3 linked regions of the Rattus norvegicus genome follow. The protein of the gene in region 1 purifies or fractionates together with the protein of each later gene. This does not show direct contact. Links are inferred from orthologs where the notes say so. Each region holds a gene or a part of one and is shown on either strand. Other genes may lie near its edges. The genes, in order: Ptpn5, Mapk3 and Atp5po.

Evidence for each region.
Region 2: the proteins of Ptpn5 (region 1) and Mapk3 purify together in Homo sapiens (affinity purification with mass spectrometry; 4 studies listed by BioGRID and IntAct, with this or other methods). This does not show direct contact. The link is inferred for Rattus norvegicus from reciprocal best matches to the Homo sapiens genes PTPN5 and MAPK3.
Region 3: the proteins of Ptpn5 (region 1) and Atp5po purify together in Homo sapiens (affinity purification with mass spectrometry; 3 studies listed by BioGRID and IntAct, with this or other methods). This does not show direct contact. The link is inferred for Rattus norvegicus from reciprocal best matches to the Homo sapiens genes PTPN5 and ATP5PO.

Annotation. Positions count from the first base shown.
Region 1 is NC_086019.1:106,756,648-106,766,300, reverse strand, and holds the end of Ptpn5 (tyrosine-protein phosphatase non-receptor type 5), read left to right. Parts: intron 1-385; coding exon 386-470; intron 471-3,605; coding exon 3,606-3,685; intron 3,686-3,874; coding exon 3,875-4,012; intron 4,013-5,248; coding exon 5,249-5,359; intron 5,360-7,665; coding exon 7,666-7,826; intron 7,827-7,914; coding exon 7,915-8,028; intron 8,029-8,338; coding exon 8,339-8,432; 3' UTR 8,433-9,405; downstream 9,406-9,653. UniProt on the Homo sapiens protein: May regulate the activity of several effector molecules involved in synaptic plasticity and neuronal cell survival, including MAPKs, Src family kinases and NMDA receptors.
Region 2 is NC_086019.1:190,796,331-190,806,201, forward strand, and holds Mapk3 (mitogen-activated protein kinase 3), read left to right. Parts: upstream 1-863; 5' UTR 864-897; coding exon 898-1,070; intron 1,071-1,987; coding exon 1,988-2,170; intron 2,171-4,292; coding exon 4,293-4,482; intron 4,483-4,654; coding exon 4,655-4,771; intron 4,772-5,003; coding exon 5,004-5,118; intron 5,119-5,464; coding exon 5,465-5,596; intron 5,597-5,753; coding exon 5,754-5,863; coding exon of another isoform or gene 5,864-5,941; coding exon 5,942-6,064; 3' UTR 6,065-6,096; intron 6,097-6,494; 3' UTR 6,495-7,081; downstream 7,082-9,871. Other genes in the region: lysophospholipase D GDPD3, read left to right, coding at 7,723-7,861, 8,157-8,199, 8,434-8,569, 8,650-8,695, 8,811-8,929, 9,008-9,097, 9,799-9,871.
Region 3 is NC_086029.1:44,648,108-44,658,073, reverse strand, and holds Atp5po (ATP synthase subunit O, mitochondrial precursor), read left to right. Parts: upstream 1-590; 5' UTR 591-594; coding exon 595-630; intron 631-1,706; coding exon 1,707-1,757; intron 1,758-3,136; coding exon 3,137-3,247; intron 3,248-5,227; coding exon 5,228-5,357; intron 5,358-5,540; coding exon 5,541-5,653; intron 5,654-6,479; coding exon 6,480-6,566; intron 6,567-6,728; coding exon 6,729-6,842; 3' UTR 6,843-6,903; downstream 6,904-9,966. UniProt on the Homo sapiens protein: Subunit OSCP, of the mitochondrial membrane ATP synthase complex (F(1)F(0) ATP synthase or Complex V) that produces ATP from ADP in the presence of a proton gradient across the membrane which is generated by electron transport complexes of the respiratory chain.

The sequences.
Region 1 (9,653 bases):
GGAGAAGGTGACAGACAGCAGGGATACACGTCCCCAGAGCTACCTGACTGGCTGCTGCAAAGAGAGCAGGGAAGGAGGTGGTGGCTGGCAAGGTCGCTTTTTGTCTTGTTGTTTTCTCTTGGCCTTTTATTGAACGTCTATCACAAACCAGGCTGGCCCTCAATAGACAACTGCCGTGCTATTTATTTTATGCCCTTGGCATATGCCAGTAACTATTCTAAATGGGTGTGTGTGCTAACTCACTTGGTAGGAAATGCTTGTCAAATGAATGCATGAACTCATGACGGTCCCTGCACTGGCATTCGGAGGCAAGCAGCCTCTGAATTTGGAACCTCTGGGAAGACCATCCTGAAGCTGCTCACAGCCCCATGTCTTCCTATTCTAGGAAATCCCCATGAACTTTGTGGATCCAAAAGAATATGACATCCCAGGGCTGGTACGGAAGAATCGGTACAAAACCATCCTTCCCAGTGAGTACCTGTTGCCCCAGGGTGGGGAGAGAAGCGGGGTCCTGTCATCTGGGAAGGACCTCCTCAAGTCCAGGGCCCCTGGGGATGATGAATGATCATCACAGGAGATAGAGTGGAGGCTGGGACAACCAGGAAAGGGAAGGGAATGAGCAGGGACGTCTTCACCTTCTGTCCCTGGACCCTTGCCCTTCCTGGTCAGTGGCATAGAGTACAAGAGTAGAAGCACTTACAAAAAGGGTGGCTCTGAAGCAGTGAAACGTGTGCATGGCCTTTCCCTTCTGAGAGGGTATATCATAGTTTAAGAAAACATTCATGGTTCATTCAGAGAAGGTAAGTGGCTTCTTCCACGTCAAACCACACAGCTAGTAAACCAAGGCTTTAAACCTGGGCTTCTATGACTACCTGTGTCCTGTATGACCTGACTGTCAGTCCTCTAACAAGTCCAAAGGGAATGAGGTGCTGTCATCCTGTAGTGATCTGTCTATCATGGGGTGTATCCAAGTGAAGCTATCCTGTAGTGATCTGTCTATCATGGGGTGTATCCAAGTGAAGCTATCCTGTAGTGATCTGTCTATCATGGGGTGTATCAAGTGAGGCTATTCTGTAGTGATCTATCATGGGGTGTATCAAGTGAGGCTATCCTGTAGTGATCTGTCTATCATGATATGTATCAAGTAAGGCTATTCTGTAGTGATCTGTCTATCATGGGATGTATCAAGTAAAGCTATTCTGTAGTGATCTATCATGGGGTGTATCAAGTGAGGCTATTCTGTAGTGATCTGTCTATCATGGGGTGTATCCAAGTGAGGCAGGCTACCTAGTGATGCCCCTGTAAGGCCTGAGCAGGGCTTGTCTCCTTCGGAAGTACTTAGACCTGGCGACCTACCATTCCCATTCTACCCCATGATGCCATTGTCAGGTCATTTTCATCAAGACCCTCTGGGGGGCTACCTCATAAGGGAAGGGGTGGCTTATTGGAAATGAGCCCCCCAAAAACCTACTCAACCCAGTGTGTGGAGTAGTGAGCCCTTAAAAAGCCATCAGCATCTCCAACAGCATGTAAGATGTCATGACTTATTTTTAACTTTTAAAATATCGACTTGTGGTTGCTATGGTTACACAGTCTCTAGGTAGTTACGTTTAAACAAAGCACCATTTAAGGCCAGGATGCCTTATTTGGGCTGCTCACTCACCTCTCTTCTCAACTTATCCTCCCTGTTCCTCTTCTTCCTGCAGGCAACAGCCTGGCTACCCCAGGACCCAGCATTTTGCTTTGCTCCTTAGAATGGAGCTAGCCATACTCTGTGTGGTCCTGCTAGATCGTTGACGGGCTCCCACCTCCTCCAACCATACCCCGAACCTCCAGGTTCCCACACTCAACATAGAATGTGGTACAGCCAGGCAGAACTGACCCTGAACCTTAAGAAACTGGACCAGGAGTGGGGGGTAGGGACAAAGAACATGGAAGGCCCATCAGAGGCAGCCTCTGTGATCAGGGACACCCTGAGATTTATTCTGCCACTGATCACACACATTTCCTGAGGCCCATCCCAGGGACTGAGAATTTGGATGCTGCACACAGAGCTTGGTGTCCAGCAAACGAAACAGCTCTATAAACAGTCCCAGGGTAAGCGCCACATCAGCAACCCATGCGAAGATCAAAATTCAGGGTCACAATGCTGCCCCTTAGTACCTCAAGCCCCAAAAGGACTGCAAGCAACTGGGAGACACTCTGGTTCTTCTTGAATGAAAAGGTGGATGACTCCCTCGGATCCAGCCCCCTCCCTCCCATCCTTACTATCAAGTGATTTTGTGAGTGTTCAGTCTTCCATATTGTCCACTTTTAATGAGCACCATTTACATAGGGTGCACTGGCATAAACATCTCTGGGAGAGACAACGGGCAGGACAGCCTGTGACCTTGACACTTACCGGATTGCGGCAGTCATATCCTGACTTGAGCTTTTTCTCCTTCTTGCCTCTCTCTCACAGTGAGGCAGAGCAGAAATCTAACCGTGTCCCCTTCTTCCTTAAACACAGTCAATGTCACCCTCTCTAGCCTGGTATGTGACACTGTCTGGCATCTGGCTCCTCTCCAGCTTTATCTCTCACCAGCCTCAGCCTTGGCCTGTGCACTTGGTCAGACAACATGTTTGCTGTTTTTCTTCCTGGTCCTTCAACCCCTAAAAGGTGCCACAACCACCCTGTGCCAGTCCCGGTCACCTCTGTCCCTCAGCCCCAGAGCTCTCTTCCTACCCAATGCTATGCTACCTTTGAGGCAGGGATTATTCATCTCTCGTTGATCTAGAAGGCTTTTCTCACAAACATAGCATAAGCAGAGCTGGTGTGAACCTGCAGTCGTGACTGCCACCACAGTGACTCTCTGATTGCCAGAGAGGACAGCGCCCACAACTGTCCTTCCAGCACCTTAACCTGGATAGGCGAAACCAAGACAGTCTAAGCAGAGCTGTCTGCTTGAGCACTCTCTTCTGTTGGCCATGCAGAAGCCCCCCTCCTGCCTACTCTTACTCCTCCCCTCCCCTGAACCACTTCTATGCGCTCTCGACAAGAACTGTCCACACCCTTATCACCCCGCCACGACCTAGGCAGAGATGGAAATGAGAGGCGGACACCCACCACCTCCATCACTGCCTCAACAGCTCCAGGTTCTTCTCCATCCCCATGGTCTGCTGGACCCTCATGATCACGACAGCTATGTTTGTTACATAGCATTTGCCATATGCTGTCAGGTGCTGCTCTTGGGCCAGGGGCTATGGGTTTTTCCTTTTAGCTCTCTTTCTACTATTATTTATTTATTTTATAAGCACATGCATATAAGTGTATGGGGCACACTTGGGGAGGTCTGAGGACAACCTGTGAGATTCAGTTCTCTCCTCCAGCACAAGGGTGCCAGGGACCCAACTCAAGTTGTCAGGCTTGGCAGCAAGCATCTTTACCCTCTGAGCCACCTCACCAGCCCCTGTTAACTCCTTTCATCCTTATAAGATGAATGCCTTATAAGGCATCAGGGAGTGACTCTTCACGACATTCCGAGACAGCACATACTGAAGAAATGTGGGTGCTGTGGAGGAGGAGGTTGGGCCCAGCTCACACCCTCACCTGTCTCCCACCACAGATCCTCACAGCAGGGTACGTCTGACGTCACCAGACCCTGAAGATCCTCTGAGTTCCTACATCAATGCCAACTACATCCGGGTATGTAGCTCCACCCCCAAGAGTCCTCCACTAAAGGAGAGGCATGAGCTGATGAGATCTATCCTTCAGACTTGTCCCCCAAGCAAGTGTGGCTCCTACAAGTCCTAAGAGGAGCCTGAGTGTGGGATGGGGCCCCGGGAGTGCCGCCTCCGACCCTGACCTGACTGGGCTGGACTTGGGTGGTTGCAGGGCTACAATGGGGAGGAGAAGGTGTACATCGCCACCCAGGGACCCATCGTCAGCACTGTGGCCGACTTCTGGCGCATGGTGTGGCAGGAGCGCACACCCATCATCGTCATGATCACCAACATCGAGGAGATGAACGAGGTAGGGACCCCGTGCCACTGCTCCTTGCTCCTTGCTTTGTGCCCCATGTGAAGCATCTCATTTGCATATTAATCCTTCTGAGGATCCTGTGAGCCTGGCATGCACTCAACTGTCCACACAAGGAAATGAGAGGTGTTGAGAGCTAAGGTATACACTCAAGGCAGCACAAAGCTGAACAGGGCTGGAGCCGTCCCACCCACCCGGTCCAGTAGCCATGATTTCAGCCATGATCTTCTGCTGCCTCCCAGTCTGCCACTGATGTGCAAGTTCACGATGAGTAGGCTCCTTTAATTGAAATCTCCACTTAAAAAAAAAAGAAAGAAAGAAAGGAAGGAAGGAAGGAAGGAAGGAAGGAAGGAAGGAAGGAAGGAAGGAAGGAAGAAAATACCCCTCAGAGAGAGGTTGAAGAGAGCTCTCAGTTGAGGACCTGAGCTTTATCCCATGTAAATGAGTCCAGATGTGGTGCATGCAGTTGTATTCTCAGTGCTCAGGAAGCCAGGAAATGGGCAGATCTGGAGCTCACTGGACAGCCAGTCTAGTTACTTAGCGAGTTCCGGGAGATCCTGTCCTAAAAACCAAGGTGGACTGCCTATGAGGAACTACACTCACACTTGAGTTTAACTCTGACCTCCACATATAGGCACACAAACACTCACACACACTCACACACACACACTCACTCACACACACTCTCACACACACTCACACACACACTCACTCACACACACTCACATATACACACTCACACACACACATACACACTCACACACACTCACACCCACACTCACACACACTCACACACACTCACACATACTCACACACACTCACACACACATTCATACACACCTTCACACACACACACTCATGCACACTCACACACACACTCACACACTGACACACACAAAGTCCTATAAAAGGGTACCATTTTCCTTTTTCTTTCTTTTTTTTTTTTTTTTTGTTCTTTTTTCTTTTTTCGGAGCTGGGGCCCGAACCCAGGGCCTTGCGCTTTCTAGGCAAGCGCTCTACCACTGAGCTAAATCCCCAACCATTTTCAAATGGGGAAACTGGGGCTCAGAAATGAGGAGAAGGCCACAGGTTATGAAATCGAGGTTTCAACCACAGACCTCTAAACCGAAGTCTGTTGTCCTTGTATACCTGTCTGCTGGCCCCAGTGGAGCAGGAAGGGATGTGGAAGAGGAATAGGACTGTAACCCAGCCTGATCTTGGTCCTTGCAGAAGTGCACGGAATATTGGCCAGAAGAGCAGGTCGTCCACGATGGCGTAGAGATCACTGTGCAGAAAGTCATCCACACAGAGGACTACCGGCTGCGACTTATCTCCCTCAGGGTGAGACCTGGACCTAGACAGAGAAGGGCTGTCGGGGAGGCTTAGTTGAGACCCCCCACTGAAAACAGTACTGAGAGGCCTACTGTAGGTGACCTGTGGGCCCACAGCACTCCCAGGACTTACTGGTAAGCAGGGGTCAACAGACTCAGACACTAAGAGAACCTCGGCTGCACTTTGCACACCTTGCACGAGTGTGCACTGAGCTCTTGCTGTGCACTGCTGACCATAGCAGCTCCTCTTCACCCCTTCTCAAGTCCAGAACCACCTGGGCAAGGAGGCTTCGAGGGCTCCCAGCGTCGTCCTTACCTAACTGAGAGTTCCTTATGACTGAGTGACAGTGATGTCCCTTCCCCTGGGGTGCTGGCTTCCGATCTGATGCACCCCAAATGTCCACCAGCAGAGGGCAGGCACTCCTTGCTGCTTCGGGGCACATGGTTATGGTTACAGGAATGGCAGGAAAAAGGAAAGCACACAAAATCTGAGCAGCATGAAGCAGCTCAGAAGAGCGGAGGACAGTGTCCTCTGGCTGCAAGGTTGTGCTGCTTCCGGGATAAGCAGAAGAGGAGAGATGTTCCTTTGGTACATCAGAAGGTTCTGAGTTTGGAGAAGTGATAGGATGTGTTTGTGGAGGGTGGAGTCCCCTGTGATAGCCCAGAAAGGTAGAGAAGTTAAGTCAAGCACCAGGAAGCTGATGCCCCATTCAGAAACAGCCTGACCCTGATGCCATAGGGTTCAGCCACAGAAAAGAGCTCAGGGCCTGACGTTTGTGCCTCTGAGCTGCCCTGTCTCTCACTGGATACAGTGCTGGACAAGGCACCAGGGCGTGTTAGCCCTGTGCTGTCAAGTGGACACTGTCCACGTGACCATCTAACGCCAAGACTTCCTGGAAACCCCGAAGGCCAGGGAGTGAGGGGCAAGTGCTGTGGTCACTGTCACAGCAGAGTAACTCAAGGACATGAGGAACCATCTTCCAAATAGAGAGGCTATGAGACAGGCTAGAGAAGAGACAGGACATCTCGCGGTTTGAGGGTGCTTCTGAGCACCTGCTCTGTGGTTCTGGGTTGGGTAGTGGGGGGGGGCATAACCGCGTCCTGGACTCTCCCTTCAAGGAGCACCCGTAAGGTGGTAAACACCGACTAGAGATAGGCAAGGCTACAGAAGGACAGTCTGCTGAGTGGCTTATCTGTGGTGGAGGCTGCTTCCAGGAAGTGCTGTATGGGGTGCTGGGGGATTGGTGAGGGGTGACCGGAGTGGGCTCTTCTAGCACACAGAAGGCACAGCTACATGGGCAGCACACACTCGTGCTCATTTCCTAGATTGTGTCCTTACTTCCTGGGGTCTCTAATCTAAGGGTATGAATCACATCTGAAGGGGTGGACTCCTGACCCATCTTCAGATTCTCCCAAGGCAGAAAGGAGGTCTCAACATACAAAGTTGGGGGAGGAAGCCACCGCATTCAGCCCACATGAAGGGTTTCTTGGTTTGGTGTGGGATTAGAGATTTAACCCAGGTCCTCACTCACACAAGGCCAGAACACACACATACACTCACACACTCTCTCTCTCTCTCTCTCTCTCTCTCTCTCTCTCTCTCTCTCTCTCTCTCTCTCTCTCTCTCTCGTTGAACTACATCCCCAACCCTTTTGACTGTTTTCTTCCTTTTGAGACAGTCGAGACAGTCTCACCAAGTTTCCAAGGCTGGCCTGGAACTTGCTCTGCAGACCATACAGGCCTTGAGATTGTGCTCTCCCTGCCTCAGGCTTCCAAATAACTAGAATCATAGGCCTGAACCATTAGACCCAGACAGCAAAAGGTCTTAAACACAGTGCAGTGTCCAGATCTGTGTTGGGGGGCAGACAGTTTTGATACCATGGGTCATTGGCAGTCAGGGAGGAGGAAGGTTGGATCTTCCCACCCTGGGATGATAAAGCAAAGAGGAGGCTAGCAACGGCTAATGAGGACAATGGGGTGGGCAGTCATGGTGCCTGTGCTCTTGGTCATGTGACTAAGGGATACCTGGAACATCTGGCAGGATAAGGAACTTTCAGACAGTAATAAATTAGAGAAGAGGGCCTTTGCCTCTCTTGGATGATTTTAGAGTTTAGAGGTCAACGTCACCTGCACACACACGTGCACACTGATTGGTCTTGTGCCATTAAGCAATAAGGTAGATGGGGGACTAAGGATCCCTACTCTCCCCTACCTTTCCTCCCTTCCCATCTCCATCTTTGGATCAATTAGGTCTGAAAGCATTCACATGTGTCTGGGGGTGGGGGGGGGGACTCTCTCTCTTTCTCTCCTGGGCAGAGAGGGACTGAAGAGAGAGGCTTGAAGCATTACTGGTTCACATCCTGGCCTGACCAGAAGACCCCCGACCGGGCACCCCCACTCCTGCACCTGGTACGGGAGGTGGAGGAGGCAGCCCAGCAAGAGGGACCCCACTGTTCCCCGATCATTGTTCACTGCAGGTAGGTTCTCCTGGCCACCCACTGGGGCAGGGCCACCCCCATTCCTGGGCTGCCTTGTCCCTCACCCCATCATCCCATTGGCCCTCAGTGCAGGGATTGGGAGAACCGGGTGCTTCATCGCCACCAGCATCTGCTGCCAGCAGCTGCGACGTGAGGGCGTGGTAGACATCCTAAAGACCACGTGCCAGCTCCGTCAGGACAGGTCAGCCCACCGATCAGGGGAGGAGAGGGTGGCAGTGAAATGTGTGCGTGAATCCAGGGACAGTCGACAAACCAGACATGGTGTGTAAGGGAGCAGAAAAACCAAATGGGAGAGAGCAGAATCCAGTCAGCTCTCTCCAGGAGGAAGGCAGAAGAGAGGCAGCCAGCGGGAAGGACGGGAGCTTGAAACAAAGGTGTATCCCAGGAAGGGGCAATGGCTGGGGAGAGTTGGTCTCTCTAAGATGCAGACCAGCCGGTGGCCCTAGTGTTTGGGGATCCCCTCCTGCAGCCTACTGCATCTCTATTGGCAGGGGCGGCATGATCCAAACATGCGAACAGTATCAGTTTGTGCACCACGCCATGAGCCTCTATGAGAAGCAGCTATCCCTCCAGTCCTCAGAGTGACCACACTCTTCCTCTGAGATCCACTGGGCACTGCCGAGTCTGAGGCTGGGGCTTCACCCCAACTACCCAAGGTCTTACCTTGGGTCCTGGGCCTGTTCCCTGGCTCTCCCCTTCAGTCTGCCCCCATCTGTTGTCCTGGCCTGGTCCCTACCCCAAGCCTAGCTCTTCTACTGTACATACTGCAGAGTTCGGGAGGGCAGGGGAGGAATGTGCCAGGCCAGGCCTGGGGCCCCTGGGCCTGACCCACACTATATAGACCTGGGGCCTCAGTTTTAACCATGATTCCACAGCTACTTGGTCCAAAATGTTTTCATGCCACACCCCAAGTGTCCTACCACAACATGTTCTGTCTGTCCATCCATCACAGCTATCTGTACCAAACACTGTGTCCCCTCAGCCAGGAAAGGAGTACTGATCTGAGCTCTCACCCCTCAGCCCTCACCCACATCGCTATTCCCAGACACCCACCCTGCTCCCCAGGCAGAGATGTCTACCAATCTCTGGCCTCACAGGATGTGGATGGTGGAGACCAGGCAGAGGAGAATGTGGTGGTTGACCGAGATCCCAGCTGAGAAGGTTCCCGGGCAAGGGTGGGCATCTCTGGCCTATGAGACACTGGAGAGAAAGAGGACAGATATAGTGGGAAACCCTAAGGATCTGAGCCCTGAGGGGGCCCTCCAAGAGTAGGGTGGGGACAGCTCCAGACCTGCGAGGCATCTTTCTGTGTCACTATGGGAAACCCCAAATGTCTCCTCGCTACATGTTGCTCCGTGTGTTCCCTTGTCCATGTGTGTGTTGAGAGCCCATGAGCAGGGCATGCATGACTCTTTGGCAACATGTGTTATCTTGGAGCCACGTGTTTTTATCGCTGACTTTAAATATTTATTCCACGGCATACAGAGACATTTGGTGTCTTTTTATAATCTGCTCGTGGTCATTGAATAGAGCAATAAACAGAGCATTTTGAGCAAAACTAGCCTCCTGGGTCTGTCATTTCCTGTTCTCTCCTTACACCCTAGACTTTTGTGCCTCACCCCCCCCCACCCCCTTTCTCATCCCATGAGCTCCTGTGTTGGCCCTCATGCTCACTGGCACCCCCTGTGGGCATTGGGAATACACATAAAGCTGGATTTGGTCTGTTAATACCTCAGGATTCCCACTTGCCTTCAGCCCCACCTCATGGAGGTGCCCTGCACCATAGGGAACCTCAAAGATGGGAAT
Region 2 (9,871 bases), about 84 Mb from region 1:
ACCACCACCACAGGGGGGCCCAGCAAACGTGGGTACTTCCTACCAAGTCTGACAGCCCAAGTCGGATACCTAGGACCTGCACAGCAGAAGGAATCTGATATCCTCTGATCTCCACACAGGCTCTGTGACATACTCATGCCCCAACACACAAAATTAATAAATGTGGCAAATAAACGAATAAGAAATTATGGAATCTGGGCATTGTGATACAGTCTTTAATCCCAGCACAGGGGAGTTAGTATGCTGAGGCCAGCCTGGTCTACATAGTGGGTTCCAGGACAGCCAGTTCCATGTCAAGAGACCCTCTTAGAAAAAGGAAGAAAGAAAGAAAGGAAGGAAGGAAGGAAGGAAGGAAGGAAGGAAGGAAGGAAGAAACGAAGGAAGGAAGAGAAAAAAAGAAAAAAAAAGAGAGAGAGAAGATGGAAATGTGGCTCAGTGATAGGATTCTTGCCTAACATCCAGAATCTGCATGATGGCTCAGGCCTAAAGGTAGGAGGATGTGGCCAACCTCCACCACATAGAACCTTTGGGGCTGGCCTGGATTAATACTGTCTGCGTAAATGAAACAAAAAGTGAGAGGCAGGTCTCCAAAGTTTAGGGGTGGGTTCCCTCAGCATCACTCAGGGCCACTGGCCCCTGGGGCTGCAGTACTCTCTAGGCAGACTAAAGTACCCTAGTGGCCAAGGCAAGGAAGGAACAGCGTAACTAGGCGGGAAAGCCGGGCGCGCTCTCAGTAGACCACGTGACATCGCGGGCCCGCGCAGGCTCGCCGGGCAGGCGCGGGGGCGGGGCGCGCGGGGGCGGGGGCGGAGCCTGGCGCGCGGCCCCGCGGTGACAGGGCGGCAGGGAGGGGCGGGGCCGCGGGCGGGGCAGCGGGGGGAGGCGGGAGGAGTGGAGATGGCGGCGGCGGCGGCGGCTCCGGGGGGCGGGGGCGGGGAGCCCAGGGGAACTGCTGGGGTCGTCCCGGTGGTCCCCGGGGAGGTGGAGGTGGTGAAGGGGCAGCCATTCGACGTGGGCCCACGCTACACGCAGCTGCAGTACATCGGCGAGGGCGCGTACGGCATGGTCAGGTGAGGGGGTGTCCCAGGAGGGGGCTTCAGAGCGGGGACAGCAGGTGCGTGCCCGGGACATGGGGTCCGGGGAGTGTCGCAGGGGAGGGATCGTGCAGTGACTTCTGGGGGACCAGGAGCTACTTTCTCCGGGAAGGGGGGTTGGAGGCTTGGAAGCCACCTTGTATTGTTAAGGGAGGGGCACCTGGGGGACCCTAGAGATACAGGTGGAGCTAAGAGGATGACTATTCTTGGTGAAGGGGGAGTGAGAGACCCATAAGCAGGTAGTGGGAGCCTTGGTTCCCCCCTGATGAGGTTGTGACAGAGTTTGAGAGAGCAGAGCAAAGCTCAGGGTGGGGCAAACCTTTGCACCCCTGCCCCTGGCCTTGCCAGAGGCCCAAAGTAGGGAGGGGTCTCTAGAATGTGCCTTATTTTGTGGGATACAGGTTTGTGAGTTCTCGCTGCCCCACTCTGTGCTCTGGGCCTTTGTTCCTATGGGAACAGCTCTGACCCAGGAACCTCACCGGGAGACAGACCTACCCCTTCTTATCTCTTCCCCTGTCCCATTACTGAATCCTCTGGGTTTCATCCACTCTCTCCATTTAACTCCCATCCCCTGGACCTGTCTTGGATTGAGAGAGTCCAGCTCAGGAAAGGGGAGGAGGGTGAGGGCAACTACAATGTAAGAGGGTCCAGGAGAAAGGAAGTCAGTGAGTGGCCACTCTCTTCCTCTGTTTGTGAAGTCACTGAAAGGCTGCCTGGCTGGTCCCCAGCTTTCCCCCTGGAGATTCCAGGCCTTCACAGCAGGAAGGAGCCAGCATTGTTTACACTTGGCCAGAACCCTCTCCTGCTCTCTCCGGTCCCTGCCAAGGCCTGGGTGGGGCCACCAGGCCTGGATTCCCCCTTTGTAAGGCCACACATCTCTCTGGCTCTCTCAGCTCAGCATATGACCACGTGCGCAAGACCAGAGTGGCTATCAAGAAGATCAGCCCCTTCGAGCATCAAACCTACTGTCAGCGCACGCTGAGAGAAATCCAGATCTTGCTGCGATTCCGCCATGAGAATGTCATAGGCATCCGAGACATCCTCAGAGCACCCACCCTGGAAGCCATGAGAGATGTGTATCCTTTAGCCACAGCTCCAGAGCGAGGCTAAGGAGCTTGGCTTTGCTTTCTGTTGTCGTCTGTTGTGCCACCCTCAAAAAAAAAAAAAAAAAAAAAAACCAAAAAAAACCAAAAAACTTAAAAACCCAGCAAAGTAACTTTTTAGCTGAGAGTCTACGGAGCAGAAGAGCACCCTGGCAGGCCTTGGATCCTGGTCTGTTGCAGCCAAGTGGAGTGGCCTTGAACACATCCTTTTCTGCTCTGTGCCCCAGTATGGTGTGTGGGGAGGGGAGAATGCTGGGCAAACCATCTCTATGGGAGCTTTGTCTTCTGACATCTGCAGTTCTGTGACATGACCCAGTCTCTGCCCACAGCCCTTTCTTGCTCAACAGACTCACGATTCTTTAGAGACCTCACACTGGATTGAAAGCGAGGAAGAAAACCAGCATTGGGCATGCCTAGCGCTTTGGTTCTAATTCAACCTTTTAGCTTCCCTGTGTGATGAGCTTTACCGCGTCCATTTCTAAGATGAGGAAACTGAGGCTCTGTGTTTTGCTGGGCCTTCTGTGGGGGAGGGGCGATACTTTCTCCAACGTGGAGAGGGTGGAGGCTTTCACACCACCTTGCATTGTTAAGAGGAGGAACCTGAAGACCCTAGACTCACAGGGCGGAGCCACGCCTTTGCACTCCTGGTCTAGCCAGGGGCTCAAGGAAGGACGAGGGGCCCTGAGAGTCTGCCTATAGAAGAAAGCCTAAATTCAGCTGTTCCTGTTTGTTGCTTCCTCTTCTTCCCCAGTTGGCTTTCTTGGAGCCTTCCCACTCTTCTGAGAGCCCCACCCTGATTACCTGCGGCCTTGTACCTTGACCAGGAAAGGTAGTCCAGCCCTTGTTGCCCTTGCTTGACACTGCTTGCCTAGTTCAGACATTTAGTTCATTGTCCACATGTACTTCCTGCTTGGCGCCATTGCTAGTAGACTGTAGCACCCATGGCCTCTTCCCTACCCACCCCTCCCGATCCCAGGATTTGTTCTGCAGCCTCTGCAGCTCTGACCACAGGAAATCGACTACTCCTGTCTTGTTGCATGACCTTCAGCAGGTCTCTGCACCTCCGGACTTCCACATTTGTAAAGCGGCAGGGTTGGTCCATGTGTGTGTATCTGCATATGCTTGTTCTCTCTTCTTCTTTTTGAGAAAGGGTCTCCCTATGTAGACCAGGCTAGCCCTGAACTCATAGAGATCCTGGGTGCCACCAGCCCCAGCTCTCACATGTCTTCTGTGGAAGACAGTTCAGACTTCATTTTTTGAGAAAGTGTCACTGTGTATCCCTGGTTGGCCTCAGGCTAACTCTGTAGACCTGGCTGGCTTTAAACTTCTAGGCAAGCCTCTGGCCTCTGCTTCAAGTGCTGAGATTGTAGGAGTGACGTACTCTGCCCAGCTCCTGATTACTCTTCCAAAGATAAGCCAGATGACATTTGTTTGTGTTTAGTCTTTGTTTTATCTTCAAGTATAAAAGGACTCTCAGTTCTCCACCTTCTGGTGTACGGTCAAGCTCTCTGTAGGAGCACACTGTGGTGGGGAGTGTCTCCTCACTTTCCTGGCACAAATCATCCCCACAAGGCAGGCATTTATTTTTAAGCAAACAGTCACTGTGTGCCAGATGGTATTCGTGCATTATCTCATTTAACCCACTCAGCGGCCACATGGCTCTGCCCATGGAGTAACAACACTGCTCCTTGTTTGCTGAGCGCTCTCCGTGTGCATCGTATGCTCACAGCACCCTCTGAAGAGCAGTTACTCTCCCTGCTTGTCAGGAGACTGAGGTGGTGTGGACAGGTTAAGAACATCGAGCTGTGGCAGCAACATGAGGACTTCAGGCATGAGTGGGTTAACTCAGAGCTCCCTCCCGTTCTTCCTACGTTCTCCCACTACTGTCCATCCAGCAGAGCCCTCATTTGCCCAGGGGAGAAACTGAGGGCCCAGAATAGATGTACCTTGCACACTGTCAGCTCCAAGTCTTGTGAAGCTCATGAGGCCAAGGGACCCTAGCTGGAAGGGAATACACGACCAGGTCAGAGCCTGTTTTCCTTAACGAAGTGTCTCCTACTCCCCCCAACGTGGGGGTCTCTGGAGGCGTCCTCAGTTACATTGTTCAGGACCTCATGGAGACGGACCTGTACAAGCTGCTAAAGAGCCAGCAGCTGAGCAATGACCACATCTGCTACTTCCTCTACCAGATCCTCCGGGGCCTCAAGTACATACACTCGGCCAATGTGCTGCACCGGGACCTGAAGCCCTCCAATCTGCTTATCAACACCACCTGCGACCTTAAGGTCAGAGGTTAAATGTCTGCTTCTCTTTCTTTCTCTCCTCCTGGGGCCTCTGGGTGGCCAGCAAAAGCAGCCTTGGAACATGGCAAGCAAGAACAGAATAGGCAGGGCAGGGGCACTAACTAGGCTGTGGAGGCCTTAGGCACCTAGCTCAGTAACCTGGGTTTGATTCCAGATCTGTGATTTTGGCCTTGCCCGGATTGCTGACCCTGAGCACGACCACACTGGCTTTCTTACCGAGTATGTGGCCACACGCTGGTACCGAGCCCCAGAGATCATGCTTAACTCCAAGGTAGGAGAGTTACCCACGTCTGCAAGGGAGTCCTAGAGCTATCCCTGGACCTTGGCACAATCCCTCGGGCCCTCGGGCTCTAGCAAGATGTAGAGATTAGAGTTTTCCTAGTCTCTGTCCTTTGCTTTGCCTTTTGCTGGGTTAGACCTAAGTTGGTTATAGTGCTTATCCCAGATACCAGGAGTGGCCCCGATAAGGCTGGCCAGGAAGCTCAGCACATTCTCCTCTCCAGGGCTACACCAAATCCATTGACATCTGGTCTGTGGGCTGCATTCTGGCTGAGATGCTCTCCAACCGGCCTATCTTCCCCGGCAAGCACTACCTGGACCAGCTCAACCACATTCTAGGTGAAAGGGCCTGTCTGGCTGAGAGGGATGGGGGTTAGCGGATCAGAAGTGACATTTCTGGAAGTCGAGACTTGGGTACCACATGTGGAGCCTCTCCAGCATCTCACGGTATTTCTGTAAGGTGTTCTTCCCATTTGAAAGCTGGGAGAAGCAAGGCTAAGCCCTACACCTAAGGAAGACTGCAGCCAGAATCTGAGTCCAGGACTCCCTGGTTCTCAGCTCTTCGTCACTGACCCAGTGGGTAGATGGGGAGTGTGGTGGCTAGGCTTGGACTCCTGTTCTTGCTTCCTGACCTGTTCCCAAAAAGAGGACTTGACTTCTCACAAGACAACTGGTTTACCCACAGGTATACTGGGTTCCCCATCCCAAGAGGACCTAAATTGTATCATTAACATGAAGGCCCGAAACTACCTACAGTCTCTGCCCTCTAAAACCAAGGTGGCTTGGGCCAAGCTTTTTCCCAAATCTGACTCCAAAGGTGAGTGAGAAAGAGGGCCAGGGGTAGGCTAAAACCCAGCAGCCAAGAAGGGTGTGTGACGCTAACGCCTGCCTCAGTAGATAGGCCCCTAGGCACTGGACGGGGCATGTCTGTGGAGCTGCCTTCCTCCTGACTGCTGCCCCCTGCCTTGCCTTAGCTCTTGACCTGCTGGACCGGATGTTAACCTTTAACCCAAACAAGCGCATCACAGTAGAGGAAGCACTGGCTCACCCTTACCTGGAACAGTACTATGATCCGACAGATGAAGTAAGCCGGCCACCAGCGGCTGGGAGGGGAATTAGTGTTCCCAGTGTCCGGCCTGTGCCTTACTGTCTTTGCCCCCAGCCAGTGGCTGAGGAGCCATTCACCTTTGACATGGAGCTGGATGATCTCCCCAAGGAGCGGCTGAAGGAGCTGATCTTCCAAGAGACAGCCCGCTTCCAGCCAGGGGCACCAGAGGCCCCCTAACAAGAACAGACACCCCTGTCCTTTTGGACCTGGTGAGTGGTTCCTGATGCCTCTGCATAGCCACATCCTGTTCAGAGGCTGGCCAGCCTGAGTGCTTCCTCATCTAATACATGTGTGGTAGCAACAAAGGGCCAGAGCCTGCTAGTCACATGTGACCACACACCCTCCAGCCCCATTCAATTCCCACTTGTCAGCATCCACTGAAACCCAAAGGTGAGGGATCCTCCCCTTATGAGGAGCCACTCCAGGCCTTTCGGGCAGAGTATACCATGATGACTTTGAGGGGAGCCCGTAATCACTGTAGCACTTGGTGGCTGCTCTTGTTAACTGCAGATAAGGAATCCATGACCCACAAAACTTGACAGACCAGAGGCACTGGAGTCAAGGCTCACCCAAATGACAGTTCTTTTCTGTCTGTTTCTTTCTTCAGGTCCTGCTCCTACCTGCTCCTTCTCTGCAGATTGTTAGAAAATGAACTTTGCTCAACCCGGACCCCGGCAGCCCAGGCTGGACCAAGGGTGGGCCTGGCCACCCCCTCTCACTCTGCTGGGGTCTCCTGCTTCAAGCAGGCTTCTCCCACTCCAGTCCCCTGCCCCATCTCCCCTTGACCTGAGTGATGAGGTGGTCCCAGAGCTGATCTCTGCTGCTGTGTCTTTATCTATCCCTGCTAGCCCCAGCTCTGGTAGACGGTTCTGGAATGGAAGGGCTATGACCGCCCTAGGACCTGTGCTACAGAGGGGTGGAGGGCACTGAGTAGGCTAAGCTCTGCCCTACTCATCCTGTTGGAACCCCACCCCATTTTCCCTGACAGAACATTCCTAAATCTCAAGGGCTAGTTTCCCTGAGGAGCCAGGCCTAGGCCTAACCCTCTCCCTCTCAAGCTGCCACATGTAACGCCCTTGCTGCTTCTGTGTGTGGGTGATTGGATGTGGAGGTGGGGCCCGTGGAGAGCCCGTGCCCCTCCCCACCTCCCTGTGCCTGTATCTAATATATAAATATAGAGATGTGTATATGGATGGCTCTGTCTCTGTCTGTGTATGCCGACGCGACCAACATGCTGCACCCATTACTGCCCCACCTCCAGCCCGGCCTTCACATGGTCCTGGTAGTCTTTGGCTCCAGCTCGCCAGGGATGAGGTTGGGTCTAAGGAGTGCCAGTCTCCTGGGAAGGGGTCAGTCTCCCTTTAGTCACTGTCTTCCCTAAGAGCTTCCTGTTTAACTGCCTGGAGTGATTTGGGGTGACTCAGGGGCACCTTACACATCCCCAAATTCCTAGGAAGTGGCAAAGGTAGTAAATTAAAGTTTCTGTCCACGAATACCTATGGGAGGCAGAGAGATCCAAAAACTAGGGGGTAGGGGTTGGGCTGCTTAATCCCCCACACACAGGGTCAAGAACAGAAGGGGGTGTTGGGGTCTCTGAACGAGAGACCCAGGGCTGTCTGCCTCAGTTCCTGCGCCTGGCCCCAGCTCTGGGCCATACTGCAGTCTGGCCACATTCCAGCAGCACCCAGCAGGCTCAGCAGGTCCATGGGTGTGGTGCTGCCCCGTGGTGGAGCCAGCCTGCACTGGCTCAGCAGGAAGGCTCGGCCCCAGGCATCAGAGCCCTTTGGGACTGGGAAGGCAGTGCTTTTGACAGAAGCCTGCTGTGGAGCGAGGCTATGATCCCCCTCGTGTACTTCGTTCTGCCCACCCTGGGCAGCTATGTAATTCTCTCCATCTTCTTCCTGCGCCGACCTCACCTGCTGCACACACCCTGGGCTCCAGGGTTCTCCATCCGCCTGGCTGCACACCGTGGAGGTGAGCTGAATCAGGGATGTGGAAGGGATGGAATCCATTTAGGATAGAGTGAGCCAAACCAGACAGGTGCCATGGTGGGCAGCAGCACATTGTCAAGGTGCAGGGCAGGAGTGAATGTTAAACCAAGAGCGAGGTAAGGAGAGTCTCGGCAACTGGAGGGCATGTGACGGAAGCAGAGGCCAGTTCAGCTGACTGGAAGAGAAGAAGCCTAAAGCAAGCAGATGACCATCAGGAAGAAAGGTAGGCAGGAAGGTCAAGCCAGGTCCCAGGAACCCACCCAAACTGCTTTCCACAGGGTCTGGGGAGCGGCTGGAGAACACCATGGAGGCAATAGAGAAGTGAGTCCAAGCCCCAGCAAGTCCCATGTAAGGTTGTGGGGTCCTGGGTTGTGCTCTGCGGGGCAACCAGGGTTGCTACTTACCGGCTTCGTCAGTCGGGTATCTAGAAGCCCTGGAATTGTGTAGATGGGGGTCACATGTCCCACCGTAAATTCTGTGCCAGTATTTCCCCTCCACTACATGCCCTGGTCTTTCCTTTGTCCCCTTTCCCCCCACCAACCTTTGCTCCCATAGTTCCATGGCCCAGAGAGCAGATCTCTTGGAATTTGACTGCCAGCTCACCCGAGATGGCGTGGTGGTAGTGTCACACGACAAAAACCTGTCCCGCCAGTCAGGCCTAAATAAGGATATAAACACCCTGGACTTTGCGGTGAGTTTTGCAGCCCCTCAGCCTGAGAGCTGCCACCCTTAGACACATGCACCCTGATGATGCTTCTCTGCTCTCCACAGCAACTGCCCCTCTACAAGGAAGAACTGGAGATTTACTTCTCGCCAGGTAGGATGTGTGTGTCCTTGCACTGCCTAGCCGCCTTCTCATATACGCTCATTAAACCCCTCCCTCTAGCCCGTTTATCCCACTCTGACCCCAGTTTTTGTGACACCCCCCCCAGGCCATTTTGCTCACGGGTCAGACCGGCACATGATTAGTTTGGAGGATGTATTCCAGAAATTTCCAAGGACTCCCATGTGCTTGGAGATCAAAGAAAAAAATGAAGAACTCATTCACAAGGTAGTACCTTGTGCCCAGCAGGTGAGGCCAGGCCCAAGAGAGGCCTGGCTTCCCTTCCTCCCTTTGTCTCTACTGTAGGTAGCCAACATGGCGAGGCGCTTTAACCGAAACGAGATTACTATTTGGACTTCAGAGAAGAACTCAATCATGAAGAGATGCAAGGCTGCCGTGAGTCCCTCTTTCTCTGTTGTGGGGTTAGAGGCCACCCCCAGCCCAAGGAAGGGCCCCAGGAACTAGCCTTCAGCATGGTCTCCAAGAGCAGGATTGGAAAAGTCAGACATAACTGTGTACTGGCATGGTGTTGCCAGGAGGCCTGCTTTGGGAAGCCTCCCATACTGGCTGTTGGTCAGGTGTTTGCTACTGTGACAGACTTCAAGCCATACCTCACGGGTCATTGTTCAGAGATTTTAACCCATATCACTTTGGGCCCAAAGCTAGAGGTCAAGAGAGCTCAACAACAGCTTAGGAGGAGCAGAGATAACGCCTGGGCTGACTTCTTCCTTCTTCCCCATTTTTTTGGGCCCGGGAGGTGGGGAGAACAGGATATACCATTTTGGGAGCAGATGCCAGGCTGCTTCTTCCCCTACAAGCTCCTTCCGAGCCTACGGAAAAGCTACTGCCCACAGTAAGGGGGCGCCTTCTCCCATAGCTAATTTTGTGGAAACATCCTCAGGCGTGCCCTCAGGTATAACTCACCAATCTCCTAGTACTACTTCTTAGGCCCATCAAGTGGACAGAGTAACCATTATACTGTTCAAGGTGTGACCGTGATGTCCGGCCCTGACCCTCTCAGCGAGTACCACCTCTCTGCTGTCTCTGGTGGAGACAGACAGATGGGTCACCTTCTCACCTCTCCCCCTGCCTCCCAGAACCCTGAGATGCCCACGGCCTTCACAATATGGCGATCATTCTGGATACTGCTGCTCTACTACCTGGGGCTAC
Region 3 (9,966 bases), on another chromosome or scaffold:
GACCTTTTTTTTTTAATTGCGGAAAAGAGTGTGTGTGTTGAAAATGAATATAGAAAAACCGGCCAAGGTGTGCTGGGTTTTTAACTTTCTACATCATCTTTGATTAAACCCTGATTCTAGTTCTGGATTAACTCTGTCCTGAAATGCACACAGAGTCAAAATCTAACAAGTCAGGGCTATGATAAGACTGAGAAGGAAAGGGAAAACTATCAGGCCAGAAGAGCCAAGCAAGACGTTATCCCCTGGGAGATTCGCTTGTGGTTTTTTTGTTTTAAGTAAAGCCTGAAGCATTGTCACAGAACCACACTTTGACAGGTTCTAGACATGGCAGAGATGTTGACGATGCATATGCAAAGAATCTAAATGTAAACCTAGTTTCAGATTTAATTTTCCGATCTTGTTCGGGTTCAAGAGTCTAGCGGGACCACGGCACCTATGGACTACAACTCCCAGCGTGCAAGAGGTTCTTACCCACACGCCCCGGCTCCTGGTGCGTTCATTTCCCAGAAAACCGAGCGATCACGCCGACGCGCGCATGCGCTCTGGCATCACTAGTCTCTTACTTGGGTTTGACCTACAGCTGCCCGGGAAAAGATGGCCGCACCAGCAACATCCGTGCTGTCCCGACAGGTAGAAGCTGACGGGAGGGTCCCTCCTGGGGTTCCCGGTCCCCGACTCCCAGCGCTGCGTGTGAGGCTGTGGCTGAGGGGTCAAGCCGCCCACCAGGGTCGTGGGGCCCGGCCATTTCAGGAAGCGTGGGGCTGATTCGCGTTTTTTCCCCCGTGGGGAGTGGGCACGAATTGCGCTATCTTGACCTTGACATCCAAGAGTCGATGCATAGCTGAGCAGCTGGCAAAAGCATGGGAGAGAGAATTGGGGAAAGCACACGTCTAGCCTTGTTCGTAAACCTGCCAGGGCTAGCTGCTGCTTGGCAGTATTGAGTGTTCGTAAAGCGCATTCCATGTGTTTATAAAGAAGGAAGAAAGGGTTAAACCTCTTCTTTGGCTGGCAGCCAGTAAGTGGTGAGATTGCAACGGGCCAAGTCCAGCAGAAACTGGAATTGGGTGGATCATCTGCCCTGATGATTTTAATTTGTACTTAATTCATAATTTTTATCAAGGCCTGAGAAAGCTTTTTAACCCTCATAGCCAGTTCTAGTCGAGTACACCCTAGAGATGGGAGTATAGACAGTGACCTGTGCCCTTGAGAGGTGCTTTTTAAATGGCATTCCAGGCTTCTCCAGTGACAGACTCAGTGCCTGGTGCTATATGAAAAGATCTTTGGTGTTTGATATCACTTCAATTCCTTAGCACATAGGTTTACTCGAATCAAGGCTGGCCTCCTCTTATGTTCATTAAAGTTTTTCCCAAAGGTGATAGAAATATAAATCCTCCACTTTGCTAAAGCATTTTCCTCAAATGTGATAAAGCTCTTGACTTTTTTTTTTTTTTTTTTAAATTCAATTTTGAGAAGCTAGCATTTTCTTTCTCAACTACCCAGGGAGGAAGGCAGTTGAAAGACAGTTTCTGAAGCAGTTTGGGGTGACTCTCAATAGGGAATGTATAGGTAATAAGGAGCAGTTCCCAGTCATGTAAGCTTTGTGACGATAATGTAAAAGAATTATGCAGCTCTTTGATTGGAATATTTTAACCTATTGCTAAGCTAATGCAGAAACCCTGTCTCATCTATTTTCTTCTGTTCTAAAGGTGCGGAGTTTCAGCACATCTGTGGTCAGGCCCTTTTCGAAGCTTGTAAGGGTATGTCAGCTTGCATTTGTCTGTGGGGGGGGGGTGGTTGGAAAGCAGTGAGGGAGTGAGTTGAACAGAAACACCGTGAAGTGTGTGTGCGATTACTAAACTTGGTCTGCAAGGATAGCAGTTCTCAAACGACTGCCTGGGATGCAGGGGATGCTGTCAGGTGCCTGTCACATAGGGTGGGCTCAACCCTAGTCTTTAATGTTCTAAAATGTACTTGTTTGGGCCAGCAAGAGGGCTCAGTCGGTAAAGGCTGGTGATGACAACACACACACAGGGTATGTATAAAAGAATCTTAAATTGTTTTTTCTAGTATTCCTCCATAGACAAGCTAGCCTTTCCTTCTCTTTTTATGAAGGAGCTATTTGTAACAAAAGAAAGTAAAGTACCCAGATTCTAACATAGTCGATACTCTGTGTTGCCTCTTGACTCTGGCAGCAGTGAGGTATGCCTGCAGTCTGCACCTTTTTTCCCTCAAGTAGAGTCAACACTGACAGGTACTGTTCCAGGCACCAACAACAGTCTGACTGAGCATTGCAGAGGTCTGCTGGCCTCTTTCTTTTTTTTCTTTTTTTTTTTTTTTTTCTTTTTTTTTTTCGGAGCTGGGGACCGAACCCAGGGCCAAGCGCTCTACCACTGAGCTAAATCCCCAACACCCCTTTTCTTTTTAAACCAGGAGTCTGACTGACCCCCATGCAGGCAGCTCCACCCTCTTACGGAATTCGGATTGGAGTGTGGCTGTGTGTGCATTTGTTTTGTAATCCTTTATTACTCGTTCATGCATGGCAGAATGTAAGGATACTCTGGGCTGCCGTGTGCTCTCTGACACCTGGGTCAGTCACTGCACTCACACTCTCCTCAGGACTAGCAAGGCAGAATGCTCTGGGGCACGTGAGATGGGACTAACAGCAGTACACACTACACTTCCTAACACCACCAAATCCCTTCATCCTCTGTGGGTGGAGCCATTTTATCCCTCCCGAGAACTTCATAAAACACCATTACCATGATGGGGACGCACGCCTGCACTTCTTACACGCTGTCCCCCTCCGCTTACCTTCACAACTGCCTGCCATGGTACTAAGTAAACTCCTGTGCTTAAGGACAGCACTGTCACTGGGGTCATGAGGTCAAAGAAAGCAAAAGCTTGCCATAACAGTTGCAGGCAGGGAGGCTGGGAGGGACACGGGACACTGCCTTCCCTGCCCCTCCAAAGTTAGGGCAGGTCCTGGCCAGGGAGTCATCCCTGGTTTGTGAATTCTCACTTAGGCTGCCCCTTGGTGAAGTATTTAAATGGTGTGGCAGTGGGAACGTGGTCTTAGCTTAGGAGTGATTCTGTTCCTGGCTTAGCTACCTCACTCCCCTCCTCCTCTTGTCTCCAGCCCCCTGTCCAGGTCTACGGCATCGAAGGCCGCTATGCAACCGCCCTGTACTCTGCTGCGTCTAAGCAGAAAAGGCTGGACCAGGTGGAAAAGGAGTTGCTGCGAGTGGGGGTGAGGAGCTCTCCTGTTGGACCTGTTCCCACATTGTCTTCAGTTACTGTAACAGGGCATGACCTTAAAGAGAAGCACTAGACACTACAAAGAATGTTTACTGCAGACATGCTGTTGATGATGAGACAGCTTTATTATTCTGAAACTTTTCTGTAATGTGAGCCAGGAGATGCATAAGTTCATTACCATGAACCCAAGTTTTTCAGCTAGAAAATAAAAGTAACTCAAGAGCACCCGCCATTTTAGACAAGAATCTAAAGACCGAGTTAATGTTTATAAGCCTAGAGTGGGAGAAATGTCCTCGACTCCATCTTCACGGTACTGAAGTTATATTTTCTTCCTGAACGTTTCTTTAGAAACTTTTCCTGGGTTTAATTATTTTTTTTTTAAACGTTTCTTTCTTTCTTGGGAGTTGGGGAGTGTCAGGCACGCACAGTGCAAGTGCAGAGGTCAGAGTCCTCCCCCTTTACACTGTGAGTTCTAGGGGTCAAACTCAGGCCAGCGGCCTTGGTAGCAAGCACCTTTGAGCTCAGGCCATCTTGCCCTTCCTGGGTTTGTATAATTACTTTGGTCCCAAGATGTGAAGAAAGAATGGCTGGGTGCACAGTCGGAGTTGGGTGCCAGCAAAGTGAGACAGCAGCTGCCCAGGCTGCAATTTCCTCTTTGCATTTTCTCCTGAAACACAGAAGAGGAAAAGCAGCCTTGTGAATTAGCAGAAACCCAAGTGTGACTCGGGTCAGAGGCCACCCCTTCCATTTCCTCTGGGGTAGCTGCCCCTAAGGCTGTAGGGCTCCCATAAAGGAAGAGTTGAGAGAGAATAAAGTCGGTCGCTAAGAGAAAAGATGGTTTTCCAGTTACATGTTTTAAGAATGGTGTATATTTTGTAATCCACACATCTACTGAAGAGAAAAGGCCCGGCCACACAGGATAACACCGTGTCCTCTGTTTATCGGCTGCGTGTGGTCAGTTCTGCTCTCCCTGAGCCAGGAAGTCCTGTTCACCATCAAGATGGTGATTTAGACGGTGGACATTAGAATGGGGTTGAGGCAGGCAAGATGGCTCATTGGGTAAGAATACTTGCCCCCAAGCCTGACAGCTGGAGTTCATTTTCTGGGACTCACATGGTGGAACGAGAAAATCGAGTCTAAGGCTGTAGGGCCCCCTTGTTTGTCCTGCACACATTCACTGTGACCCACACAGGTACAGGTGCGTGCCCTCCTACCCCCACCCCTCCCTGCCCCCCCTTCTTTCTTTCTCTGCCCCCCCTTTTCCCATCCCCCCTTTCCTCTCTCCCTCTTCCAATGACTTAGGTTTTGGCTTAATAAAATCCAGAAGTCTGTCATAGAGGAAAAAGAGGGGTGACAGTTATCTGAGGTTCTGAACATAAGTGAGATTATGAGGGTGGGGAGGGGTGTGGATAAAAGAGGTCACCCTGACTGTCTCCTGGATTTTGCTAGCAGACACACGAACTGTGCAGCCTCTCCAGTGTAAATCGTAGCATGGAAGTCTTTGCATTCTATGGCAATGGCCTAAATTCTGGCCAGGAGCCACTGAGGTGCTGGGAGTAGCTGACAAGCAGGAGGACACATTTACCAGGAAGGTGCCCACCCAGGAAGAACTGCTGCGGGTCCTAGAGCCCTGGGCGGCTGCTGAGAGCAGGGGATGAGATGGATTGACAAGGTGTTGTGACTTTCGCCCTCTCAGACCAGTCTCTCAATGTTAGGTTTGTTCCAGGACCTCTGTTGGAGGGAGGGCACACCTAGGGTCTCCTGAGACACAGAAGCTCAAGGGTTCTGTACTTGTGGGTGGTGCTGTGAGGAAAGCGGGCTTGCCGTGTCATACATGGTGAGACTTTGGCTGCTTAATTCTCGTGATCCTTCTTAAAAATGCATGCAAGAAACTCCAGAAGGTGTTTTTGAGGTTCCTCAAAACATGGTTTTAGTCCCATGTGAAGTCAGCTGGGACTGTGTGTGCTTTCAGCAACTCTTGAAGGACCCCAAGGTGTCCCTTGCTGTTCTGAATCCCTACATTAAGCGCTCCATCAAAGTGAAAAGCCTGAAGGACATCACTACAAAGGAAAAATTCTCTCCGCTGACGGCCAACCTCATGAGTGAGTGCTGGGGTCCCAGTGGGCTTTTCCTAAATCCCTGTTGGGTATTTAAAAACAGCGCTCATAACCACTGAGCGCCTCTCCAGACCCCATTCATATCCTTAAAGGACTGAGTATGGTATTTTCAGGCTACAAGGTGTCATTGCTTTCGGTGGCTCAGTGAGTTTCCTGTCACTTTCCCAGATTTACTTGCTGAAAATGGTCGCCTAGGCAACACCCAGGGCGTCATCTCTGCCTTCTCCACCATCATGAGTGTCCACCGTGGAGAAGTGCCGTGCACAGTGACCACAGCATTTGTAAGTAACAGCTCTTGCTGCTGCACTGGGGACATGGCTGGTCCCTCGTGAGGTTCTGTCAACTTCCACTCAGAAGACCCAGTGTGTGTCCTATTAGTGATTAGTCGTGGGGGTCTGAGTGTTTTATGAAATAATGACTTAGGCCCTGTTACAACCTGAAGTCTTAAATGGGATGGGAGCATTTACCTGTGGGTTGGGGTGCACAGGCCCTCTGATCCACTGGAATGAAATGTTAACGAGTCACCGTTCTTCAGGGCTGCCATCTGCTGGGGACCTTGTAATGTGTTACTGCTCTCAGAAAATAGGCATCCAATTGAACTGTAATTGTCCTTATTTTACAGTCAGGAAGCCCAGCTCAACAAGACAGGCTCAGGATCTGAACACAGGCTCTCCTCTCAGAGGCCCATACTCTTTATGCATTATATGCCCTGCGACAAGTCATTTTATTGTTCTCCCCATGACATAGGTCAACCAGAACAGGAAAGGTGTTTGATGCAACACATGAGTAGTAGTGTACAGCCCCTGGCCTCATCCAGGTTGTAGTTCAGTTGGGGGGGTGGGGAGCTTGTGTGGCCAAGCCCTCTGCCTAAAACCTGTGCATTAGAGCATGCATTGTGGTGTGGCCATTCCCCAGGCCCCCACCCCCACCCCAAAACACTCAAGCACACACTCACACATTCGTGCATGCATGCATACACATGTGCACACAGGTCAGTCAGGAGTCACTGGCCTGTCTTGGTTTCATACCCACTGTGGTATTTCTCTCTCCTTTGACTGTGTTTGCTGCTGTAGTGCTCTGCTTAAAGGATTGTTGCTTCTTTTTCAGCCTTTAGATGAAGCTGTTCTCTCTGAGTTAAAGACAGTGCTGAATAGCTTCCTGAGTAAAGGCCAGATACTGAACCTGGAGGTCAAGGTGGGTTTGCATAATTGTGGAGTGTGTTAGTGCCAGGGCAGGGCTTACACACAATGGTTCTGACTCAGGTGTAGTTCCCATTTGTGTGGTGGGTGGCCTGCCTACCCCGGGATGTTCTCATCTGCGCTGTGTTTCATGTGTGCGGCCTGTTTTCTTTCCTAGACTGACCCATCAATCATGGGTGGGATGATTGTCCGAATTGGAGAGAAATACGTTGATATGTCTGCAAAGAGCAAGATTCAGAAGCTCAGCAAGGCCATGCGGGATCTGCTCTGAGAGACTGTCACCTGTGTGAGCGCTTGTCTTTGGAGCACAATAAAATGCTTCCTGAACAGAGGACGTGAGGGCCCTTGTCCTTTAAGGGGCAGCACCAGGTTTTCAACCTCCCACAGGACAAATCCTCTCATCTCCAGGTTAGAAAGTCCTTTGGGCTGGAGGATTTAGTTTGTATGTGTCATTCGTAGGAATTCATTGACTCAGTAAGCATTGTACCTACATATATAGTCTAGTACTGCCTATCAAAATCTCCTATCTTTGAAGGGAGCTGAGAAGTGGTCCCTAACCAGTCATGAAGACCTCCCTACTGAAAGGCTCTCAATCCTGACACAGAGCCCCTAACTGTAGGAAGCTCTAACATTCAAGACTACACTTTGTGTTCCTAGCAGTCTTGTGATTTGCTCAGAGCGACATGGCTAAGCAGCAGGTGGTGAGGCCCCAGGACCCTCATTTGCCATCTCCAGCTCACGCCTGTTCCCTTGTGACAGAAGGCACGCTTTGACCACTGCTGGAGCCAGCCCACCAGGCTACACACACGTCCCATGTCCCCTCCCCCAGTGTTCTGAGTTCACCTAAGCCAAGCAGCACACACATTCCTCCTGAAGCTTACCTCTGAGGCTGCTGGAGCAGCCAGATCTCCCTGAGTGACTGTAGTCCCTCCCTGAGCACTCCCAAGAGTGTTTGCCTAACAGACTACTCTGACTACTCCAGAGCGCTCCTGGTGGATACCTCAAGAATGGGCAGAAAGAGTGCAGCAAGTCCTCAAGGGCAGGGGCGGGCCCAGGGCTCCACTCCCTGCCTGCTCCAGCATGGCTGTGGGCCCTCACCGGCCCATCGGGCCTGGCAGCCACCTGCCAGAGACCCCAACAGGACTACAGCACAAAGGACTCTGCTTTCCAGGGGCCAAGAATGCCAGGACAGGTCTGATAGCATTTCTCACTCGCTGCTCACAGTGCAGCTAACCGCTTGCACTGGCCAGGTCTGAGGAGCCTCACCACAGGTAAGGCTTAGCGGGTAGAACCGAGGGAATGGGCGTGTCCCAGGTTGCCTTCACCGCAGCAGCCTGGCAGTCCACACTGGTGGGTTTTTCCAACTGCATCCAGTTGAGATGGCCGGGTCCAGGCTGGGTGCCAAGGCCAGTGCTGTCAAAGGCACCAACGCCTTGCCAGGTTTCCCCATTGACCTCTGGGCTCCCACCACAAGGAGAATGACCCAGTGCTAAAGCTGCATCCCACACTGTTGAGCTTCCCCTCCTGCTGAGTGTGACCATACCACACCATTCTCTTTTCTATCTTTCCCCTTTTTTTTTTCTTTTTTTTTTTCTTTTTTTCTTTCTTTTTTTTTTTTTTTTTTTCTTTTTTTGGAGCTGGGGACCGAACCCAGGGCCTTGTGCTTGCTAGGCAAGCGCTCTACCACTGAAGTAAATCCCCAACGCACACTCCATTCTCAAAGAAGCCCAGCTTCCTCCTGATGACCAGACCAGCAGCCTTACACTCTAACTCCAAGGCTCCTATAGGCAATGCCTGCCACAGACAGCTCACAGATCCTTGAGAATTGGCTCAGCCAGCTTCCTCTTGAAGAAGCACACAAATCCTGGAATACCTGGAGCTTGGCATCCTGAAGTTGCCAAAGATGACCCCAGAGCCTTTTCCACGGTAACTTAATGTGGCATACAGCCCGGAGCTCTGTAGATGAGGCTGGCCGTGAATCTAAGGCAGCCTCTCAAGTGCTGAGATTCAGACATCACACACCCAGTTTACAACAATGCCCTTCCTAACACCGTCAAAACAGCCTGGTGTGTGCCACATCCCATAATCCCTGCACTCACAAGACTGAGGCAGGAAGATTATGAGTTTTGATGCCATCCTTCTTTACATATCAAAACCCTATCTAACAGCAGAACAAGCTATGTGGTGGTGGCACATGCCATTAATACCAGCACTCAGGAGACAGGCAGGCAGATCTCGAGTTCAAAACCAGCTTAGGGGGTTGGGGATTTAGCTCAGTGGTAGAGCGCTTGCCTAGGAAGCGCAAGGCCCTGGGTTCGGTCCCCAGCTCCGAAAAAAAAAAAAAACAGCTTAGTCTACAGAGTAAGTTCTAGAACACTCTGGGCTACACAGAGAAATTTGGCAAAAAAAAAAAAAGAACAACCCAATACAGGACAGCCTGGTGGGGAAGCTTTTATCATTCTTTCAGAGGTACTGAATTCTAATGCAGCACTCAGGTCAGCTCACAAACACCTGTAACTGCAGCTCCTCCAGTAAGACACACTTGTGTGTGCATGCACGCCCCCACATAACAGTAAAAATAATAACAAAATAGATGTCAAAATGTGCCACTTGGTACTTAAGACAGATTAGTATAAATGAATGTCAAGTCAAACAGCCCAGTCCCATGCAGTCCTCCAAAACCAAGTTGTGGGAGACGAGAACTAATGAGAAAGCAAGCAAACAAGACGGGAAGGTTCCTGTGACGTGTGCAACTGAACAGTCCTTGTGTGTGGGCACAGTGTAGCATCCATGCTGGGTTCTCAGGACACAACACATGAGGGCATCACAAGTCTCACACGGAACCCAGTTGTGCATGCCTGGAACCTCAGTCTTGGGGTGGTGAGACAAGAAGACCAGGAGTTGAAGGCCAACCTTGTGTGGCCCTGCCCAGAAAGCAGAAAAGCACTTGTGTAGGAGTGTGGTGTGGCTTCGTCTCCTGTATTTTTCTGGACCTGCTGACTTTGCCTTTGGCACCCCATGACTGTTCTCAGCACTTCTCATGCTCTCAAGAATACTCAACACGAGTCTGTCTCTGCTATCCCAGGAGAGATGAGAAGGTGGCGGTTGCCTTGTTTTGTTTTTCTAGGTTAATTTTTGCATCATTTTTCTTGTACAACTACAACCTTATCTCTGGGAAATAGACGTAAGTAGAGACACCTGTCTCAGGGCTCTTAGCATCCTGTGTCTGCAGAGGAGTGAAGGCAGAAAGAGCTCAACCTGAGCGTGAGGTTGGCTGTTCTTACTTTCATGAACTATGTGATTTAAACCATGCAGGTCAAAAGGACCCCAGAATCAACTGAGGAGGTTGTCCTTATGCTCTCGATTTAATGGCGGCTCCTGCCAACGCTGCCTGT